3 linked regions of the Notamacropus eugenii genome follow. The protein of the gene in region 1 interacts with the protein of each later gene in a pairwise test. Links are inferred from orthologs where the notes say so. Each region holds a gene or a part of one and is shown on either strand. Other genes may lie near its edges.

Region 1 (7,574 bases):
CTCTGTAAAAGGAGGGGGCTGGCCTAGGTGACCTTTCTTAGGTCCTTCCTGGTTCCAAGTCTAGGCTTTATGCCCTGATCATCAGAAATAAAACTGAAGAGGCTGGTGACATATCAAGAGCCATGGTGGTGGCGATGGTGGTGGCTGTTGTCCTTCCAGATGATTCCCTTTCTATACTGTATCTCCCTGGGTTTTCAGAGGGGAGACTTATTAAGGGTTAAAATACTTTCTTTTGTAAGGCCTAGGGGCAGAAGCTATTTCTGAAAGCTGGTGATTCCAATAAATGCATGGCCTGCATGGCTATACCAGTACTATCCTCCAGTCAGAGGCTAGGGGCTAGTTCTCTTTAGCCACAGGTAGGAAATTATCAGGAAATAAGAATGTCTTCCTTTTGTACAATGTTGGGAAAAGCTCACCCGTCTGGTAGCACCTAGATGGACACTAATGGGATGCCCAGAGTGAACTGGAGCTAAAAGATGCTATTTGTTCTGGTTAACCTGATTCCATGCAAGAGATTGTTCTGATGCCAATCATCCCTTTCAGGGATTACGGACCATGGAGACAAGGCGGGGCTGGCTGCCATCTGCGAGTCATGGCCCCACTAGGCAGGATGATTAGGTTCAATGGGGACTTTCTTGAGCTGTATTCTTCTAGACTTGGAATTGGAGAGAGACAAACCTGGTAGTATGAATCTGAAGCTTAGCACACAGGACACAGTGCTTTGGATTGAGAACTGTACTCTTCCCCCAGATCACTTGAGACCATTACCTCATCCATTTTCATAGCATTTTTGGGCAGACCTTTCTGCAGATGGGGACACTGAAGTGCAGACTGACGTAAAGCGAGCTTGCCAAGGGTAGAGTTAACTATGTTAATTCTGTGTGGCCAGGTCACAGATAGAAAAGAGGCAAAGGAATTTTGACCTTTGACATAATTTTTGTACTGGGCACCACACCCTATTAGTTAACCATGTCTGTGTAGTTTGGTCTGATTTAAAATATAAAGTCGTTGAAGGAAAAGGAGGGTCCACAGAATAGAAAAATGATGGACTTAGAGATGGTGGCCTTGGGTCCAAATCCTCACTCAGCCACTTAAGTGCTGCCGATTTTGGGTAATTATTTCTTCGTGTCTCACTGGCCCTCTCTGTAACATGAAGGTTAGGGTTAGGTGACCTCTAAGGTTCCTTCTTGCTCTAAACTGTTAATTCTCTATCTTTTTGGACCGGACTTGGGATTTCATGGGTGCAGGGAGCTGCTGGGAAGAAACTCCCTGCTCCCAATGGAGATCTGTATTCTCTTCATAGCTTGTGGTCTTGGAGAGTCACCTGGGACACAGAGAAGGTAAATGGTTTGTCTGTGGTCAACCTGCCAGTATGTATTAGAGGCAAGACTTGAACCCAGGTCTCCACTACTGGAGGTTAATCTCTATATTATTTTCATTGTTCTTCATTTTTTTCCAATTTGGCCTTTGTACTGGAGGAGGCTTTGTAGACATCTTACTGTCAATTGCTAAAAATGGTAGATCAAATGCTATCAATGTGGGTGCATGTCCCAGCAAAGTCATTCAGAGAAGGATGAAGGGCAGCTCAGTTTGACAGAACTCTGGAATTCAGGAGTTCATCAAGTGTGGGTCACAATTAGTGCCCTTGGCATATACTGTCTGTTAGTTAAACCCCAGAAAACACCGTCATTTGATTGAGCTCAATGGAGGCCGATTTGGCTTTTTATTCCTGACAAGATGATACTCCAAAGGCCAGATGCCTGAATCGAAACCTTTCATATCCAGAAAGTCATCTTATTCTACTTGCTGAAAGACTAACCTGAGCTCTCCTTATCTCCATCTAGTCACTCCAAAAGTCTTTTTGAAGCTTGTATCTCCAGGGAAAAATTCTGAGATCTAAAAGAAAAAAAAATGAATGAAAATTTTTTTTCTGTAATGGAATGAAACACTAGATATTTCACATTGGAAATCCTGTAATTCTGGGTGCTCTGTGACTTGCCTGATTTTGAAGTTGGAATCACCATCAGAGGTAGGTCTGATTTCCACATAAATACATTTGGACAAGGCCTTTTTTTCTCTCTAGATTATAGTTTGTGGAAAGTGAAAGTTAGTTATTACAGCTATAAAACTGGACTCTGCATTGCCAACTCCTCTGATGCTATGTGATTTCACAACAAAGAGAAGAAGCTCTGGGATGAAAGATTATTATTCCCAGAGCATTAGAACCAAGAGGGACCCCACGAAACAGAGGCCTTGAGAGGGCAAATTATTTGCCAACCAATGGAACATGAGGCATTTCTCATTAAATGTAGCAGCTTCTCCTACGTCTTTTGAGACTGAATCATAAGAGTATAAATACAAGGTGAAGGATGTATGAAAAATTATATTTTAATTTTATAACTAAAATTTTAAGGTACATTTCTGGAACCACAGAACTTGTGTGCATTTTAAAGATTTCATGAAATATTAGAACCATCGTGACTAACATTAAAAATAATAATAAATGCTTTTTCTTAGCAAAGCTCGTTCGTCTCTTAATTTTGCTGAGACCACTTACGAGCTGCAATTCTTTTCAAGTTTAGGAGTAACACAAGATGATTTGTCTAAGGCAACAGACACCCACAGCAAGAGAGAGGAAAAAAGTGTTACACCTCATCCTTGGTCTCCAGGAAGGAGAAAAAGGTTTTGGGTTTTTTTTTTTAAATGTTAAGCAGGAAATCTCAATTTCTCTTTTTAGTGTGCTATACTGCTTGCCAGATTTTAGAAACCACAAGGTAAATTAACATCTGAAAGCTATACTCATCTATTAATAAAACTGCTTTTAAATATCAGAGAGGATCTCTGAATGAAATTTTGATTTTTTTTAACCTCTTAAATCACGATAGAAGAATAAAGATCTGGGAAAAAGCTGGTGGCTTTGGGGTCACTGAGGTAGATAGAGTCACAGTACTTGAGAAGTCCTTTTATTAAAGGCATGCGGCTCCAATTTTAATAAAGAAACCCAAAAGTCAAAATGATTGACAACTGGGACAGAAGAGAAAGCACATAGGATATGCGAGGTCAGGGTATCGAAGGAATAAGTTTGGAGTTTCTCGAGTCAGGTCAACGCTGGTTTACTAACTCGTTGGAATATCAAATTCCACCCCCTTTCCCCACTTTTTTTTCCTTCTCAAAGAGCAGTAACCAGACATGACATCATTATCAGTTGAACATTGCTCATTTATAGGCAGCTTCAGGGCAAAGTATATTAAGTGGGGGGAATATATTAACTTTAATTATTTTGGGGAGCCAAGGATATAGAGTTGTCATTATAAGAGACACTGCTCTTCCCTTCAAGACAGCTTTCAGACAGGACAGAGTTCAGATATACCTACTAATTAGCTATTATGAGTGGAAAATAAATAAATGCCATCCATTTCCTGATCTCTTAAAAGTATGCTGATTCAGTATCACTGGTCACATCACATATTTAAGGAATTCAAGAGCATCCAACCTAGAATCCAGGGGGGACCCGAGTTCAAACACATGCTTAGACACTCACTAGCTATATGACCCTGGGTATGTCATTTAACTTCTCGAGTGTGCCTCAATGTCCTCATTTGTAATATCGGGATAATAATAGCACCTACCTCCCAAAGTTGTTGTGAGGATAAAACGAGATGTCTGTCAAACACTTTGCTGACCTTAAAGCGCTTTATAAATACTAGCTATTAATCCCTTAGTTGGAATACATATTGGACAAAATGGGAAAGGGCCTTAGAAAAAGTCATGCGATGTTTTTGTTTGGACGGAACTTGACCTGAAAACGTCCTAAGTATTACCAAGGTCGAGTAAACTTGGTTTGAAAGCGCTTCAGAAGAAGCCAGGAGAAGTACAGCCGAGGAGTTCCTAGACCTGGCGGCTCTGGCACGGCCGGCCCTGCGGGCACAGGACAGCAGCTCTCTCCTCCGGTCCAGGTAGCTCACTGGAAGCGAGGTAACAGGTTTGGGAAGTTCGGAGAGGAAGGCCCGCGGAAGGGAGTCCCACGGCTTTCCCAAAGCCCCCGGGGAAGTGACCTGGGAGCAGGTGGAACTCCTGGCAATCTCGTGTCTCAGGTCTGAGTCAAAGACTCGGAGGGCAGAGGTATCCCAGCCCCGCAGCGGTCTGTGAGCGGAGGGGGAAGCGAGCGCCCAGCTCGTGTGTTGGGCGGCAGCTGCAGTCCCCAACCCGGGCTTTGGATAGGTTTGGGTTCCCCGTGTTCATCTGGAAACGACCGGCCTGTGCGCGGAAACCTGTTGCTGTCTGACCCGGGAGCAGGTCTGACCTAATCCTGCGGAGAACTCATAAAAGGGAATTACAGGACTGACATCACATTTGCTTTTATAATCACATGTTGTTATGTAATAAACACGGGATTATTTTAATTGACACTCTAGGACCCGGCGCAATCCTCTTATTTCACCCTCATTTCTGTAAAGCGTGAGAAGCCCAGCTCGCCCAGCCGGCCAAGGGGATAAAGAGTATCCCCTCCTCGCTCCCCCGGCCCCTCGGGCACAAGCCCCCCACGACCCCCTCCCCAGACAAACGCCTCCCCCGCCCCGAACCCGGGGATCCGGAGGGAGACTTTCTGGCGAAGTTGGCGGGGCCTGCCCCCGGCTCTCGCGGGGAGGGTCTCCGGTCCCCAGGGCGTGGGGCCGGGGCGCGGCACGTGCCCCGAGGGCGGAAGGGGCCCAGGACCCCCGGCAGCCGCGGACTCCGGAACGACCGGCGTTTAAAAACAACCGGTGGCGCGGCCCCAGACTCCCGCGGCTCCGCCGGCCCGGCCCCGGAACGGGCGGGCGGGAGGCCCGTGGAATCTGCCGCTCCGGACGCGAGCTAGCTGCGGGGGCAGGCGTGTGGAAAGTGCTGCTGGCGGACGGCGCCGAGCCCCGGGCCGAGGCCCCGACGGCGCAGAGCCATAGTGCTGACGTTGGAGGCCCAGCCCTGTGAGGTTGCGCCGGGTAAGTGGCGCTCGGCCGGGGAGGGCCCGCCGAGAGGGCGGGGGAAGGGGAGGAGCGGGCCCGGGGGCGGGGCCTGCGGGCCGGCTCGGGCCGCCGATTGCTGGAGGGCGGCTGCCAATCTCCGAGAATCCCCCAGTCAGCCGGGGCCCTGGCGAGAGCCACTCAGATGTACGGTGTGTGCCCGGAGAGCAGCCCGAGACGGTCTGGAGACGGTGCAGCAGCCCGCAGCCCCAGCCAGGGAGTCCCCGCCGCTTTCAATGGAGGAGAAGCCCGGCCAGCCCCAGCCTCAGCCCCCGCCGCCGCCGCCGCAGTCCCAGCAGCCGCCCCAGCACAGCAGCAGCAGCCACAGCCACCACCACCCCCCGCACCACCACCACCCCCAGCAGCCGCCCCAGGCAGCGCCGGCGCCGCCGCCGCACCACCACCACCACCACCATTATTACTACTACAACCACAACCACCACCACCACCACCAGCACCACCAGCAGCCGCACCAGTACCTGCAGCACGGGCCCGACGGCAGCAGCCCCAAGGCCCAGCCCAAGCCGCTGAGACATGAGCCCAAGCACGCCCTGCAGCCGCACCAGGAAGCGCCCAAGAAGAAAACAGGTCCGGGAGCGCGGGGGGTGCGGGGCCGGGAGGGGGCCCGGGGTCACGGGGCTCGGGGACACCCTCCCGCGCCGCTGCTCCCGCCCCTGCTTCCGCCCGCCGGCCGGCGTGACCTTCCCGGGCCCCCGTCCGCCCGGCTCGGGCCCGCTGCCCTTCCACGCGGGGCGGGCGCTGCCGGGCCAGGCCGGGGCCGGGCCGAGGCCTCCCCTCCCCCGCATCCCCCGGCGCCGCCCGGCCCCGGCCCACCTGTGGACCCGGCGGGGCTGAGCCGGGAGGTGGGGGCGGGGGGCGCGGCGGGGCCGAGGCCTGGACCAGCCGTCCCTTTATCGGCCTCGTCCTCGCCGCCCCGCCCGCCCTGTCCCCTCGCTGTCCGGGCCGGGGCCGGGGCCGGCGCGGCTGGAATGTTCTCCGCTCGTCGCGGGGCCGCTTCCTGTCCGCCATGTTGGGAGCCGATTCCTGTCACAGGCCCCGGGGCCCTGCGGGGGGGGGGGCCCGCGAGCCCGGCGCGTGCCCCGCCCCCCCTTCCCTCCCCCAACCCCCGGCCTGGCCGCGGCCCGGCCCGGCCTCGCTCCCCCGGCGGCGGCCCAGCACCGGGAGCGGTTGGGGGTCGGGCCACGCGGGGAGCGGCGGCCGCGCGGCCTCCAGCCCTGCCCGGTCCGGCTCCGCCCGCGGCCTCCCTCCTCGCCAGGGGCGGTGGTTGGCCGGCCGGCCGGGCGGGAGGGGGAGGTAAGGCGGGCCGGCGGCCCGGGAGGGGCGGTGGCCGGGGCGGGGGGGGGCAGCCACGCCACACCACGCTGAGTGTTCTCGGGGGAGCGGGCCTGCGCCGCCGGCTGTTACAACGCCCGGCCCGGGGCCGCAGGGCCGAGCGAGGCCCCGCCACCGTCCCCTCCCTTTCCCCTGGCGGGCCGGGCCCCCGGCGTGCCGGCCGCGTGGAGACGGGGCCCCGGCCCCCGCCCGAGGAGAGCAGTTTGGGGGCGTTATTTTCTTAAAGCCCCCCAGGATCGTGGCCGAGCGGCCTTCCGTGGATGGCCGGGTCAGGGGGAAGGGGAGACTTTTGGGGGCCAATGTGAACCTCCGAATCCGGTGTCCGGGCTTGGGCGCAGGCCTTGGGGCGAGCGGGGGCAACTTTTCCCGGATGTTTGAGCCTTAAGTCCGGTCTGCCCCCGCTCCTGCCGCGCGGCTTCTGCCCTTGTGGGCTCTGGGGTTGAGACGGGGCCCGTCGTGGGCCGGGGAGGGGGCGCGGGACGCGGGCCCCGGGGTTTCCCTGAAAGTGCTTTGGGGGGGGAGTTTAATCCCGAAGGTCGGAGGCCGCCGAGCCCCTGGTAATAACGGAGCTAATGGCCCTCGGCGTCTGCGGGAGCAGCCGCTCGGGGAAGCCGCCGCGCTTGTTAGCGTTCGGTCTCCCGAGGAGCGGCCGCGCTCTGGGTCGACCCGGCCCGGCCGTCGTCCCTCCTGGCGGCCTCGTCCTCACGCTCCCCCCGGCGTGATGCCCCCGGGCCGCGCTTCCGAGAGGCCACCGGGAGCTCCCGAGGGGCGCCGCGCCCCCCACCTCGCCGAGCCTGGCAGGAGTGCTCGTGGTGAAACTTTGCCAGGTGGTGCCCGCACGTTGGCGAGGACTGGAGGAAGCTGGGCCCCCCAGCCGGGAGGAGAGGCCGCTCTCGGGCGGCTGCCCGCTAGGGGGCGCCCGAGGGAGGCCGCCCGGAGCCAGTGCGAGCCTGCGTCCGCAGCCGCCGGCCCTTTCCAGAACCCAGTAGAACTGGAGTCCGTTTTAAAATGGAGTTTTGTGCCCGGACAGCTGCCGGGCCTCGGGAGAAGCCGGCCGCGGAGGGTGCTTGGACGTGATGCTCGGCTGGCTGTTCTCCTGCAGTTTATGACTTGTGGGGGCTTTAAGCCTTTAAGCGCAGTCTCGTTAGCCTAGTGGGTCCTGGAGTGAGAGAAACGGTAGAAGGCCGTAAGTTAGGCCACAGCGCGGGGCTTGTCCGAACT
Region 2 (7,867 bases), on another chromosome or scaffold:
ACTCCCTCCCCCTTTCCTCCCTCCTTCCACGCCACCCTGGCAGGGGCTGCGGCGGCGGCGGCAGCATTGCTCGCAACAGCAGCCTCAGCCGGTTGGTTAGCCAGCCAGCCCCAAACCCCACGTTTTTTGTTTGTTTGTTTGTTTGGTTTTTTTTTTTTTTTTTTTGGTCCAGTGCCAAGCGTAACCAACCTCCTCCGATCTCGTTGTTCGGGCACAAGTGGCTTTGTGAGATAGCAGCCTCAGGTTCCTATTCCCTGGAAATAGCATAAACGGCTTACGGATGTGCAAGGCGGAGACTTTCTAAGAAACCCTGTGTTCTGTGGGTCTCTTTATCAAGGCAGCAGCAGCAGCAGCACCCTTCGGCCCTCAGATCCGGCGCCCCTCACCTCCCATCGTACCCGAGGCCAAGCCACAAGAACACGCAGGCTGTGCTGACGGGCGGGGGAGGGGGGTGGGGGAGAGTCCCAGAGAGAAAGGCCTGAGGGGCTCCTATTCCACTTGGAATCTTCTCCCACCTCCACTCCCCTTTCAGCTCCAGAAGAACGCGTACGTGTCTGGGGAGACGTGTTTAATTTCTGGGACTAGTTTCCCCCAGCTCCTCCCAGTTCATTAGGTTTCTTGTTTTGGTTTGTGTTGATTTGGTTTGGTTTGAGGGTTGGGATGAAGAGGTAAAGAAAAAAACGGGAAAGCTAAGGAGATGGATGGAGATCAATAATCCCTGAGTTACCTGGGGCGTGGATGGGGGCTGGGAAAAGGGGCACACGTAAATTACACGTAATGCAGGACTTTAGCTAAGCTTCCTTGTTCTGCTTCCAATCATCCATCCCCACAGAATCACCTCATTTTATCTACATTTTTAAATGACAGGACAGCTTGGGGCGGGGGGGGGGGGGGGGGGGGTTGTGATGGTGAAGGGAACGGAATCTGTGCCTGTGAATGGTATAAATATCATTTTAAAAAAATAAGATGAACACAACGAATGTAACTGAGGTGGAGTAATATCTTTTTACCTGCTGCACTCTGAACTCAGTCCGCCCTTCCTACCCCGCACCGCTTTCTTAATCTTAGGTTCTAGTCCTGACACCAGACTCAAAACCTTCCCAGACAAGAACCCGCAGGCAGATCTTAGGGGAGAAGTTTCCAGCCTCCACCTCCCATTCCCACCCGCTACATCTAGACTCTCTGGTTCACTTCCACCCCTCCCGAGAGGAGGGAAGAAGGGGAGAGAGCTCTTTTCCCAAATAAGCAACAGGGCTTCCACCAAGGGAAAGCCCTCTTCCAGCACACACCCCTCCCGTCCCCTTCTCCTACTCCACTCTCCACTCCAAACGCCCTTCTCTTCTGCGCTTCACTGTATTCAGTCTCTAGACTCGGAAACTTCTTTCTAGTCTCAAGTCGGTGCTATCCAGTTTAACCTCTTCTCTGTCTGACCTCTCCGAGCTGCCAACAAATGACTTATTTCTAGACACCCCCCTCCAATAACACACACACACACACACACACACACACACACACACACACACACACACACACACACGAGGAGGAATGTGCTGAGGACCCGAGTTGAAGGAAAGCACCACCCCTTCCCCTCCTGCCCCGAACCACTTGCAAACAACCTCCAGAATTTTGTGTAGTGTGGCATGCGTTTGGGTTGAGTGCGTGTCCCAGGATCGCACGAGGGGGTGGGGTGGGGGGACAACCGGAGAAGGCAAGCAGCCGCACATCTGGAGGTAGGGGAAGTGGGAGGCTAGGGGGCGGGGAAGTGAGCCGCTAGCTCAGCTTCGTTCACCGGGGTCCGCTGCCAGAGTTATCTCCACCGCTGAGGCTCCAGAGGGAGAGGGATGGGGAAAAGTTTCAGAGTCCGGAGTAGGAGGGGGGAGAGGGGAAGATAACAAAAGGGATGGGGGTAGGGGATAGGATGTTGCCGGTTACCTGTCCAATGTTGATGAATCCGTATTTGCTAGCTATCCTGTTGGCCTCCTGGAATCCCCCGGCGATCTTTACAGCCCAGTGGTTGGTGTACACGCGAGTCCTACACACGGGCAGCAGGCAACCCAAAAGGAGGACCAAGACACAGAGCAAGTCCAATCGCCCCAGGCAGCACCGACTCCTCCAGCCCATCGTCCTTTCTCCTCCTTGGGAAACCACCCCAATCAACACAACTCTTTCAAAGCTCCCTTTCCCCTGGGTTCCAGCGGCTTCTTGATGTTTACCACTTCCAGTCAGACAATCCCCAGCCGCAGCGAGAAACCCTTCCAAATTTAGGTGGAAGAAACTAGAAATAGCTTGGAATATTGCATTGGACCTTGCGCCGGCTTCTAGACCATCTCTGATTGTTAAGGTGAACTACCCAATCTTCTCCCTTTCAGGAGATGAAGTGAGTGGACAGGAGCTGCTCTCCCAGTTTTGAAGCTTTTAGGTTTGTTTGGTTTTCTCTGTACAGATGAGTGTTTTGAGTTTGTCTTTCTTCTTCACCGCAGTTCTTTTACCTCCTTCTCACTCCTGTTCTTTATCTCCCCACTTGATTATCTTGTGTTTTCTTCCCTCTTTTCTCCTTAGGTCCAGAGAGCAGCAGCGGCAGCAAGCAGAAGCAGCAGCAGCAGCAGCAGAAGCAGCAGCAGCAGCAGCAGCGGCAGCAGCAGCAGGCAGTGTGAGTGTTGGCAGCTGAGCGCCTCTTCTGCTCCGTCAGACTCAGAAACCTCCCTCCCTCCTCTCTCTCTCTCTCTCTCTCTCTCTCTCTCTCTCTCTCTCTCTCTCTCTCTCTCTCTCTCTCTCTCTCTCTCTCTGTCTCTCTCTCTGTCTCCCTCTCTGTCTCCCTCCCTCCCTTCTCTCTCTCTCTCTCTCTCTCTCTCTCTCTCTCTCTCTCTCTCTCTCTCTCTCTCTCTCTCTCTCTCCCTCTCCCTCTCCCTCCCTCCCTCCCTCCCTCTCCGAGTAGTGAGTGTGGAGTGTGAGTTGAAATGGCAGCAGCGCCTTCTCTGCATAAATGAGTCTCCCCCCCACACACACCCCCTACACAACCCTTCTTTCCCACCTCCCCCTCACCCCCTCCCTCCTCCTGCCGTCCGAAAGCGGTACGGATCCAGACTCCGACTAGGTCCTAGCGCCGACTCTTTGAACGTAACCTCCAGGATCCCGGGCAAGAAGAAACTGCACGCTGTTACATACAAGGTGTATGTAACCTAGTGGGTTCTGGGGTTTGAGGTTCCACTTTCCCAGCCCGGCGCTTCTTATAATTTTGCTGCTACTTCCTGAAAGACTGGAGAAACATATAGTTTGGGTGACCTAGAGATTCATTCATCCTTGGTCTTGAACGTCCTTTAACAGCTAGCATTTAAGAAGGTCAATTTCATGTCAATTGCCTAAGGAATAACTTGAGATTTTCACTTCGTTAATTCTTCATCCTTTTCACCAACTGTTTATTTCACACATTCTATTCCAGAGAAGGAGCTTCTAACTCATTATAATATTCCCATAGCCAGAGAAAGTAATGGACTTGTTGACATCTAAAAGCAGTGCACTCCATACTACACAATTCCATGGGAGAATAAAATTTCCCGGTTAATTTTTTTCTATGAACATTCCATATGAAAATAAGATAAAAGTTGTTCAGTTCAAGGGAATGGGTATCTGCTGCTTGCATTGTCTAATTTTTTTTTAATTTTATTTTTTATAAACTAGGGCAAAAGTTGTCCAACTTTTCAAGTACTCTATGTACTGGAAAAAGTAAATGACTTCAATAAAAGGGCACAAATGGAAGGTCCTGAATAAATATTCCTCTTCTGCCAACTCTAATTCTTTACACTAAATAGTAATTGCAAGAAAAGAAAAAGCACAGAAATGATTTAACAGATGCTTCTCTACTTCATTTCTGCCCCTCCCCATTGGGTCAAGTGATTTCTCAGCAAAAGAGCAAAGTTGCCCCTTCTGAATTATATTTATCAGTTTTCAGACCACTGGCTGTCTTCCAGATCAAGACAAGTATCTCTTTCCCCCTTCTCAGTGCTATATTACCATTACTAGATTGTAGAAAATTAATTTATCTCAATCCAAGCTTTTCACAATACTTTGCATTTATCTTTCTTCTCAAGAGATTTGTCAATATTGAACTAGCACCCCTGTGAGATTATCATAGTGGACAAATATGTCTATTTCTTCAATGTATAGGCTGAAAAATATAAAGCTAGAGATTAAGCATTAGACTACTTTGCTTAGATTTTGGGATTTTAATTCATTCCTCCAACCCAGTAATTTTTTGTTTGCAGACTAGGTAGTAAACTCCCATATTGGTATTTATGTATGGGGAAGCTGTTTAATTCGTTCACATAAACCTAAACTACATGCACTCAAAAAAGTCAATCAAAAACAGACTTTGTTCTGGTCCCTGATAAGCTTTCAAAGTGAGAGAGACAAACAGTCTTCCTTTCTTATGGACCTTTGCAGGAAAGTCATGTAGAAATCACTCACACTATCCCCAAAGGTTAACCACCACTAAAGGAGATTAAACCACCACCTTATGAGTCAAAATTGTAAACATCGATCTGTATTTCCTTGAGTGTTCTCATTCTCTAATTGTTGAATTCTGGGAGTGTAGCTTTAGACACTTCCCTTTGAAAGGAAAATTACCTATGAGTTTCAAATTTGAAATGAAACTTAGAGGAATTACTATACCTCCACAGAACCTAACTTCCTTGTGGTAAGGGTTGTTGTTTCCTAGGATAAGTGGTAGAATTATTCATTGATTTTTTTCTCTCCATGGACTCTTTCTTTTTCTTCTTTCCAATAACACTTTTTCCTCCTGTAGCCATGCCTTTCTTGGCATACCTAACAGTTGCTATGTTGAACATGAACGAGAATTTCTAAGTAAGGTAGGAAGTGGACAACCACTTTTCTGCTTTGTAAACTAATACCTGGACCAGCATTTAGCTTACTCAAAGGATATATTCTTCCATTTGGATGAATATATATTAGGAAAGGGAAACCAGTTCTGGAAACCAAACAAAATGTGGAACCACCATTCACTCCTCAAATCCTTATTTAAGGTCTTGACCCATTCATCTTATTCTCCACATTTACAGTACACACACACACACACACACACCTTTCTATTTAAAATAATGCTCTCACAGATTATAGCCTCAGAACCTTCTTCCCACAGGCCAATTCATAGTACAGGTCTCCTGGTTTACATCCAGGCACCACTTAGTTCTTACTTTCATTTCTAGGGCAGGTAGGTAGTGCAGTAGATAGAGTACCACTGTAGGAGTCAGGAGGACCTGAGTTCAAATCCCACCTCAGACACTTGACACTCACTAGCTGTGTGACCTTGGGCAAGTCACTTAACCCCAATTGCCTCATCCTGGGTCATCTCCAGTCATCCTGATGAATATCTGGTTACTGGATTCAGATGGCTCTGGAGGAGAAGTGAGGCTGGTGACCTGAACAGCCCTCCCTCACTCAAAAACAAAGTCAAGTGCAAGTCATGTCATTATTTCTCTGATGGCATGGTCTTCTTCAGCAATGAAGGATGAACACACTTTCATTTCTGCTATTCCTGATTCCCATTTGATGAAACCAGTTAGCTTAGCTGGTGAAAGCTTATAGAGTAGAGTAGAAAGATCCCTAGGATGGATTAATAACTTCCAACAAATATAATTTCTGTTCTATTACTTTAGACTATATCTAGTCTACCAGCCAGCCCAATCACAAATGTGAGTCATTGGTTACACAGGGGACCAAGCCAAAGAGTGTGTTCAGTGTAAACCCATTGTTACTATTGGGAAAAGAACCAAAATTAAAAAGCCCATGGATTGAGGGAAAAAGCCAGCTAGATCTGTTTTATATAAGCCTTTTTATATTTTTAAAGCACTTTGGTGGCTATTATCACTTTTTCTTATGTCAAGAAGAGAGTGTTTTGATCCTAACATGGTGAATCAAATTTTGAATTCCTATTGTTACGATTACAAGTAATTCAGGCTATTTCATTTTTACCTAGTATCCTTCCCACTTAACTAGAGGAGCAGGTGAGGAACCTGGAATGGAGAGCTGGCCTCAGAAAGAGTTGCAGTCCAGAAGGCCTGGCTTACATCCTACTTCTGACCCAAACTAACTGTGTGGTCCTGGGCAAGTCATTTAGACTTTCAGACTGAGAATTGCAGTACAATTGGAGCTCTGCTTCTGTGGAAGGAGCTTCCTCAGTGGGCGCTTCCTATAACAAAGCAAGCAAAAGTACAGTTTTCCACCCCTCACCCCAACCACATTTAGAAGAAAACCTCTATTTGAAGATATTGATGTCAGACCAGAGTTTGGCAGGTGTGTGAATTTCTCCCCTGTGCAGATTGCATTGGTAGAAAGAAAATAAGAATAAAGAAATGAGCTTCGTTGGACATGTTGAAATCCTATAAAACACCTCCACCTCTCCAGAATCCTGAGAGAAATCTCTGTCTCCTGAGAGATCTCATTCAATCCTTTTTCAAGCTTCTTAGCTAGAATTCAGTTTAATACATTTTTAAGAAAAATCTTACATGCCTACCACATGAAACTAATTGTACTGTGAATACAGAGATAGAAGAACAACACAGTCCTTGCCTTCAAAAAGTTTATAATCTAATATATGCAAATAGTAATAACCAATAGTAATAACCAAAATTTGATAAAATGCATTTTAAGTTTGTTAAGTATATGCATATATGTAATACACACAGAATATCATTTTCTGTAATAAGCCAGTGATATAGGTGCTATTATTATCCTTATTTTATAAATGAGGAAACTAATGCTGGGAGAGGTTATGTCACTTGACCAGGTCATGTAGCTAATGAGTGTTAGAGGTAGGCTCTGAACTCGGGTCTTTCTAACCTCATTTTTCAGCAATCTATCCATGATATTACCTAGCTGCCCATTCTACAAATATGTAGAATGAAATATAGAATATGATATGTATGCAATAGAGTAGGGGAGTCAAAATCATATAGAAACTGGGACCATTAAACCATAGATAAGGATCTCTTTGCCTGCTGCATATTGACTTAGAAAACTACATATTAATACTATGTTCCATTGTATATTTATTTATATTGTACTGTATTTATATTATTGTATTCAATATTATATTGTATTTCCAAATCACATGTTAATCTAGCAACTGAAAGTATTACAGACTGCAACATGACCCCCTCTGGCTGCCTATTTGACACCTCTACTAATGAGATATGGAAGAGATCCTCCAAGAAAATTGGAAAGGAGAGATCATGTTCGTCTGGGGCATAGTTGGGAAGGTTACTGGGATGAGAAGTAGCTCCTAGATTGGACACTGAAGAAAGGAAGAGGTTTGGAAGAAGTTCATTCCAGGTATGTGGGACTTTTTTTCTTCTTTTTAAAAAATTAAGTTATTTAAAAAATTTTCCCCAGTTACATGTAAAAACAATTTTTAACTTTCATTTTAAAAACTTTGAGTTCCAAATTCTCTCCCTTCCTCCCTCCCCACCCCCACCCCTATGAAGAAGGCAAACAGTTTGATATAGGTTATACATGTGCAGTCATGTAAAACATACCCATAATTGTCATGTTGTGAAAGGAAACAGACAAAAAAAATCAAGAAAAATAAAATTAAAAAAAGTGTGCTTCAATCTGTATATAGACACCATCAATTCTTTCTCTGGGGATGAATAGCATTTTTCATAAGTCCTTCAGAGTTGTCTTGAATTGCTATATTCCTGAGAATAGTTAAGTCATTTACAGCTAATCACTTTACAATACTGCTGTTACTTTGTACACAGTACATTTCACTTTGCATCAGCTCGTACAAGTCTTTCCAGATTTTTTCTGAGAGCATCCTGCTCATCATTTCTTATAGTAAAATAATATTCCA
Region 3 (7,496 bases), on another chromosome or scaffold:
AATCCTCAGGAGAAAATTTATCTCTAAAAACATACATTAACAAAATGAAAAACAAACTAAATACACATATTAAAAAATTAGCCAATAAATAACTCTCCCCCCAAAAAAATTAAAATAAGAAATATGGAAAAGTAGTGGAGAACTAAACTGGAAATAGAAAAAGACATTAGAAATGATAAGACTAAAACCTAGTTCTTAAAAGCTAACAAAATTAGTAAGCTTTAGCAGACCTGTTATAAAAAAGGGCAGAAAATCAAATCAACAAAATAGCAAATGAATAAGGTGATACCACAACAAAACTAGAGGAAATAAAAAGAATTCTTAGAACCTACTATGAACAGTTATATGCTACCAAAACTGAAAACACAAAAGAAATAGAGGAATACTTTTAGAAATATAAAATACCTAAGTAACCAACTAGAGATCTTCTATAATCCAATCTGAGAAAAGAGAAATAAAATGAGTAATAAAGGGCCTACCAAAGGAGAATAGTCCTAGTAGATTCACAGGATAATTCAAACTTCTAAAGAACAACTAGTTTTAATATCATAAATTAACTTAATTAATTTAATACCATACAAAGTATTCTCAAAAATTGAGAAATTGTTTTATCAGACTCTTTTTGGGATGAATATGGCCTTGATTCCTAAATGAGGGAAAGATAAAGCAAATAAGAACCATGAACTGATGTCACTACTGAATATTAATTAAAGACATTTCAAGTCCTGTCAAACAAAACATACATCACCATAATCATACAAAGTATAAAAACATCCAAAACCACACGATTATCTCAAGTAACAGAGATTATTGTAATTATAATTACAGTCACATAATTATAATTAATTATCTCAATACTTTGCCTTTGACAAAGTACAATATTCATTTCATGCTACAAATCCTATGAAATATAGGCATAGTGGGATTTTTTGTTAATATCAGGAAATGTATGTGAAATCTAAAAAGATCGGATCCACTAGAAACTTCTACAAGAAATACAGGAATAAAGCAAGCATGCTCAGTTTTTCTGCTGTTATTTGACATAGTTCTGGAAATGACAGCAACAGCAATAAATCAAGAGAAAGAAGTTAAAGGAGAAAAGATAGGCAAAAAAAGAGTTATAAAATGATTCCAATTTGCTAACGACACTATGGTTTATTTAGAAAATTCTAGGTGAACAGCAAAGATTTCAATTGAAACAATAGTTTCAAAGTTTCTAGCTGCAAAAATAACAGTATTTCTATATAACAACCCAAAAATAACATTTCTATATTATAACATCAAAATGAAAGGTAAATACCGTTCAAAATAACTACAAAAGCACAAAATACCTGGAGCTCAATCTATCAAAGTATACAAAATACCTGTTTGTACTCAATTGCAAAATATCCGTTATGGAAATAAAGAAGAACCTAAATATTTGGAAAACTATTCAATGATCATGGTTGGACTGTGCCAATATAATAAAAATGACAGTTAAAAGTTATAATTTTCAGAGAGAAAAAAAGAAACTTGATTACTTTATTATATATTTAAAAGAAATAACAGGTTATACATAAAAGATTTGTATTTTCAAGTGATTTTTTTATTCTGCTAAATTATGGAAATGCTTATCTTAGGTTTACAAATTAAAAATAAATCAAATTTTAAGAAAATTATAGTTTTAATACTATACCAATCAAACTATCAAAAGGATATTTTACAGAGCTTGATAAAATTATCTCAGTTCATTTGGAGAAACAAAATATCTAGACTATAAAGGAAAATAATGAGGAAAAAAGGTAGGGATGAATAGGGGAGTGCAAACTCTATTATAGCCTGTCAGTTATCAAAACCAGTTGGTAATGGTTTAAAAAAAATAAGGAAGTAGATCAGTGGATGGACTAGGCAAGGAAAGATGAAAAGAAATAGAACTCAATGACCCGATGTTCAATGAACTAGAAAACATAAATTAGAAAAGAACTTATTAGATAAAAACTTTTGGGAAAACTAGAAAGTTGTCTGGCAGAAAATAGAATTAGACCAACACCATTCCATCACATTCCACAATGCATTTTAAATGGATAGATTACCTTAAGATTAAAAAACCATACATAAAAAATGAGAAGTAGATCATATATGTTTTCCACAGGTAGAAGATGTATTTTTAAACCAACAGTTGATAGAAATAACTATACAAGATAAATATATGAAACTTAAAAGCTTCCACGCGAACAAGATGAATGCATGTAGAATAAGCAGTTGAACTGGGGGGGGGGGCAGAGGGATCTCTATCAAATTTGTCTGATAAAGATATACAGACTACCAACACACATGCACATATATTGTGGTACATAAGTATAAAGAAATTTTACTGTGCTGTAAGAAATGATGACTAATGAATACTGGAAAGCATGGAAAGACTTACATGATTAAACAAGTAGCAAAATATACTGTCCAAAATAACAATATACACAATAACTGCAATGACATAAATGGAAATAACAGCCACAGAACTATCAAAAACAGATGTTTAAAAATTACAAAGGTCAAGCTCAGTTCCAAAGAAGTAACATGTGAAGACACCCCCATTGCCCTCTCTCCCTGGGACAGCATGCAATCTGATGATTTCTAGACATATATTCTTATTAAGCACATTTTCACATTAGTCATTTTGCATAAAGTTATTAAAATGAATGGGGGAAATCATGAGAAAAAACAAACTAAAACAAAACATAACACAGGAGAAAATGTTCTGCTTCATTCTGCATTCCAATTCCATAGTTCTTTCTCTGGATGTGGATGGCATTTTGCCTGAAGAGTCCATTGGGAAGTTTTTAGGTCCTTCCATTGCTGTGAAGGGCTAAGTCTACCAGAAAAATTCCTCACACACTGTGGTTGGTACTATGTACAATGATCTCCTGGTTCTGCCCCTTTCACTCAGCATCAGTTGATGTAAGTCCTTCCAGGCCTCTCTGAAGTCTTCCTGTTCGTCATTTGTTATAGCGCAGTAGTATTCATTTCATTCATATACCACAACTTGTTCAGTCATTCCCCAATTGATGGGCATCCCCTCAATTTCTATGCTTTCCTAACCTTTGCATACTCTCCGTGACACTGACCTCCTTGCTCTTCCTCAAACAAGACCTTCCATCTTTTGATTCCAGTTATTTTCACTGACTTTGTCCAATGCCTGGAATACTCTCCCTCTTCATTTCTGCCTTCTGGTGAGCTTGTCTTTAAGTCCCAGTTGAACTCCCACCTTTCCTGGTCTCCCATAATTCTAGTGCCTTCTCTCTGATGATTCTTTCCAATGCATCCTGCATATATCTTGTTCCTACATAGTTGTTTGTGTATTGTCTCTCCCATTAGTCTGTGAGCTTCTTGAGATTGGTACTCTTTTTTTTTTTTTTGCCTTTTTTTGTATCTCCAGTGCTTAGCATAGTGCCAGACAGACTGTGCTTTATAACTGTTATTGACCATTGACTGAAATGTAAGGTATTTTGAAAGCAGAATTACCTTACTGAGAGCATCCTCATATCTCATGCCTGCTTCTTTTTCTCACATCCTCCTATTATTTAAGAAAAGCAGGGTAGTATAATGAAGAAAACACTGAATTTGGGAGGCTGAATCCCCCTTTTGCCATTGATTATGTATGTAACCTTGGGGAAGTCACTTTCTCTGGCCTCAGTTTCTTCATCTGTAAAAGAAGGGGTTCAACTGGGCAATCTCTTCCTTCCCACTTTAAATCTACTATGATCCATGACCTTTTTTTAAAGCAAAATCATGAACCAGCTGTAAAGGGATGCTAGAAAGATTAAAGTTAGAAATTTGCTGTTCAAAAGTTGAAGTGAAGGGTTAGAACCCTGTCTTTTTAATTTTACTAGCCATTGGTATATGATCTTCCTTATGGCATTTCTTTTGGCAAATATTCATCCCTTCTATCTTTTTATCTCTAAATCTTCACTTAATCTGTGCTAATTTCTAATAATAAATCAAGCGCAGTGGTCATTTGTAGCTGTATTCTACAAGTTTCTATTCTCCCGAAAAAGGTTAAAAACTTTTCTTCAAATGCCAATGACCTGGAGGGCTAAATCTTCATAACTCCCTCTCATCCCCTGACTATCCGAGGCCTCTGCAAAACTCTGGGATGTTGTAGCTGGGAAGGAAACTAAAGGGTGAACGTACCCCCGTGTTCCCACCTCCCTCCATGCACTTGATAAGTAGTCCTCGCCAAGAAAGATGCTCTCTGCAGAGTGTGTGTGTTTGCTTGCTAGAATCCAGGAGGAGAGGCTTTCCTTCGAGCTCTGAGACTTTCGTCCTGGCAGACGCCCCAAGATTGTTGTGAGGAGTCTAGCCAGTTGGTGAGCTCTCTAATCTGAACCAGCTGTGTCCAGACTGAGGCTCCATTTGCATTGTTTAACATACTTAGAAAATGAAGTGTTCATTTTTAACATTCCTCCTCCAATTGGTTTAATGCTGAATTACTGAGAAGGACTAAGCAAAACCAGGTGCTTTCTCTGTACTCACTCCAGTGCCTCAGGAGGCTCAGACCCTTACTCTGCCCGCTTCACTACTTGCTGTACTGGAATATCATTAAAACAAGAATCAAAGGGCAGAGAGAAGGTTGAAGTTCAAGAAACGCCTTTGAGTAGTAGGCACTGGGATCTTTTTTTTCCCCTTTCTTTCTTTTTCCACCCACCTCCTTTTTTTCTTCTCCACACATCTGGGACATGCCAGGATTAAAGAGGTAGGTTCTTTGTACGGAACTTCTTTCTTCAGGGATTGGAAAGACTTGCTCTATAGCCTGCTGTGTGGAAAATGTCTATGGCTGAGGTTCAATCTGTGTCAGGACACTGGAAAAGAGATTTGCTAGTGATGCAACAAGATTGCTAATTATAAAAATGTGCTGTTCAGTAATTTCCATCTTGAAGATCTTTTCTGGGGGGGGGGGGGAGGGTGGGAGGAAGGGAAGGGGAGGGACAAGGAGTGGTGTTGTATAATAGTTTTAGAAGTCACATTGTCTGTCCCAGGACTGCAGAATTCTACTGCTCCAACGCCAGTGCTTTCATCTAAAAAACACTTTCACAGACCGGCAGCAGCTTTTTTTTACCCAAGCTGATTTACCCAAAAAAAATCACTGATTTGAGAGACCAAGCTTAAGTTTACTAGCAATCTTCACAGAAAAGAATTGCTATTTTGTATGTGTCATCTGCTGGACAAAGCATCGTGCCTGGCTGAACACATTTACACTCTTGTGCCGGATTGTACTGTATGTCTGTGTGTGATTCGCAAAGGGAATGAGACCCAGAAGTATAAAGCCAATGAGAAGTGCGGATTGCAGACAAAAGTACATGTAAGCAAACTTTATGTTGTTCATTAGGGAAAATTAAGAGACAGATAAGTGATTCTTAAAATTAATGACTAAGAGAGTGACAGCTCCGGGATTCTTGTCTAGTAAAAGCCTGTAGATTTCTTTAAATCAATGGATTTCAGTGTGTGTGTGTGTGTGTGTGTGTGTGTGTGTGTGTGTGTGTGTGTGTGTGTGTGTGTGTTGAACTAAAACAAGCCTGGGATCATCTCTTCTGACAGCAAGCAATGCCATTTGATAGGTCCCTCCTCCCCTTTCCTTTTCTTTAGGGGAAAGGCATGGAATGGATGCTTCACCTGCTTTTTTAGAAAGTATCCTGGATTGTGAGAATGAGAATGAGAAGTTGTAATCTAGCCATACATCTGACGACATATATTTTTTTCTCATTCTCTTTTTGATTGCTTTGATTTTGGTTGTCCAGAAGAGCAGAATGTAGATTCAGTGTCACAGAAGTTATTCGTAGGCAAGAAGTTTTGCTAATGGCATTTTGGGGCTCCTTCGTAATTGTAAAAACTTTTTGCTACTGATTGAAACTTTTTTGACTCCCAGAACTTGCCTGTCACTCTGCCAAGGGTGAGAGCCTTTGTCTGGGTGCCTTGATCTGCTCTGAAGTTTGAGGGGAGACTGTAGCTGGTGAATATCTCTAGCCCAAAGGTCGGAAGAATGGGTGTTAAAATAGATTTTGTACCAGCTCTTGAAGGTACTCAGACTACTCAGCCTCCAATATAAATGAAAAGTGGTTTAATAACTAACTGAAAGGAAACTTCATGAGGAAACAGGAAAACATTGAAATTCATAATAAACAGGCTGGAAAATAAATTTGTTGTTGCTCTTTTTAAAAAAAAGATATAAATTTAGTTTTTGTGAATTAAAAAAAGTCCACTACCACCACAACAAAAAAACTCAAAACAAAACAGCTCTGGGATGTAGCTATGAACTTTATAAGGTTAGAACAGTCTCCAATAATATGAAACCTGGCTAATGCTGCCTTATATATTAAATAGCTAAGAAACCATTGGAATTTCAGAGTATTTCTTTATTTGGGGAGAGTGATCTTGCTTAGATGAAGAAACTGGGAATTATGAGTCCTGACTTTGCTGTCTTTGAATAATGGTCAAATTACTTTATTTTTTTTCAACTTACCCAAAGAATAAATAGACAAAGTCATATGGGTCACAGAATAAGTATGTGGAGGTCAGGTCTGCATCTAAAGAGAATTTGTTGATTGAATAATAGTTTTTCAAAAGAAGAAATGAATGAATTATCCAATTTAGACAAACACATCATCAGTCTAGACAGTTCAGTTTTGCCTTTCTTCTGATTGGTTGACTGAGTTATTCACATTCATTGAATATTTGATCAACCTCCCTATTAACTGTGAAGAGTTAAATTTGAGGTCACAGAACATTAAACTTAGGCAGTATTTTCTAATGTCCCCACTACTGGTTGATGGAAGACACTGATAGGTGTATCTAGGCTAGATGAACATTTATATTAAATGACACTGGCATCAACTTCATCTAGCATTTTGCTCTTTGGAACTTCAAACATTTCCCATTGATCATCTCATTTGTTCTGATCTTTTGAGGTAGGTCACAAGGATCATCATCTATACACACATTTATAATAAAAAATTTTCTAAACTCAAGCATTACTGTCTCTGTTTGCATTCAAAGTAAAAACTTGGTAAATGCTTAATTTGCATCTGACAGTCCTCCCTGTTTCTCTAGCCTCTATAGCACAAAATGCTATTTTTGATTATAAAAAAATCTTATTTGAATGAGAGGCCTCATGGTGAGGGGGCTAGATATCCAACTGCAGAGTGAGGAAAATCTGGTTCAAGACTCCACTTTGAAACATACTACCTGTGTAACCCAGGGCAAGTCACTTAATTACTGCTAAGATAATATATTATGGAACATTTATCAATTTGCATTGGTAAAAGAAATTTTCTTCTTTAGGAGTTTTCAACTTCAGTGAAATCATAGATCTGGACCTTCCTCCTCAAAGTATTGTGTTATAACACATTCATCTAGTACTTAGACATTTGTATATATAAAATATTTATGTTTGATTTCTCATCCCTGTTTAGGATACTGACTGTTTCCATTCTGACTCTTTGTCTCACAAGTCCTGGACATGCACA

Evidence for each region. The genes of interacting proteins can lie anywhere in the genome.
Region 2: the proteins of NUFIP2 (region 1) and PCSK5 interact in binary tests that used the Homo sapiens proteins (3 or more experiments, as listed by UniProt). The two-hybrid records come from large-scale screens. The link is inferred for Notamacropus eugenii from reciprocal best matches to the Homo sapiens genes NUFIP2 and PCSK5.
Region 3: the proteins of NUFIP2 (region 1) and FBLN5 interact in binary tests that used the Homo sapiens proteins (3 or more experiments, as listed by UniProt). The link is inferred for Notamacropus eugenii from reciprocal best matches to the Homo sapiens genes NUFIP2 and FBLN5.

The regions. Positions count from the first base shown.
Region 1 is NC_092873.1:36,771,083-36,778,656, reverse strand, and holds the start of NUFIP2 (FMR1-interacting protein NUFIP2), read left to right. Parts: upstream 1-4,558; 5' UTR 4,559-5,236; coding exon 5,237-5,588; intron 5,589-7,574. UniProt on the Homo sapiens protein: Binds RNA.
Region 2 is NC_092874.1:375,902,408-375,910,274, reverse strand, and holds the start of PCSK5 (proprotein convertase subtilisin/kexin type 5), read right to left. Parts: upstream 3,005-7,867; 5' UTR 2,122-3,004; coding exon 1,933-2,121; intron 1-1,932. UniProt on the Homo sapiens protein: Serine endoprotease that processes various proproteins by cleavage at paired basic amino acids, recognizing the RXXX[KR]R consensus motif. Likely functions in the constitutive and regulated secretory pathways.
Region 3 is NC_092878.1:38,570,852-38,578,347, forward strand, and holds the start of FBLN5 (fibulin-5), read left to right. Parts: upstream 1-4,492; 5' UTR 4,493-4,712; coding exon of another isoform or gene 4,713-4,729; intron 4,730-5,012; 5' UTR 5,013-5,279; coding exon 5,280-5,335; intron 5,336-7,442; coding exon 7,443-7,496. UniProt on the Homo sapiens protein: Essential for elastic fiber formation, is involved in the assembly of continuous elastin (ELN) polymer and promotes the interaction of microfibrils and ELN. Stabilizes and organizes elastic fibers in the skin, lung and vasculature.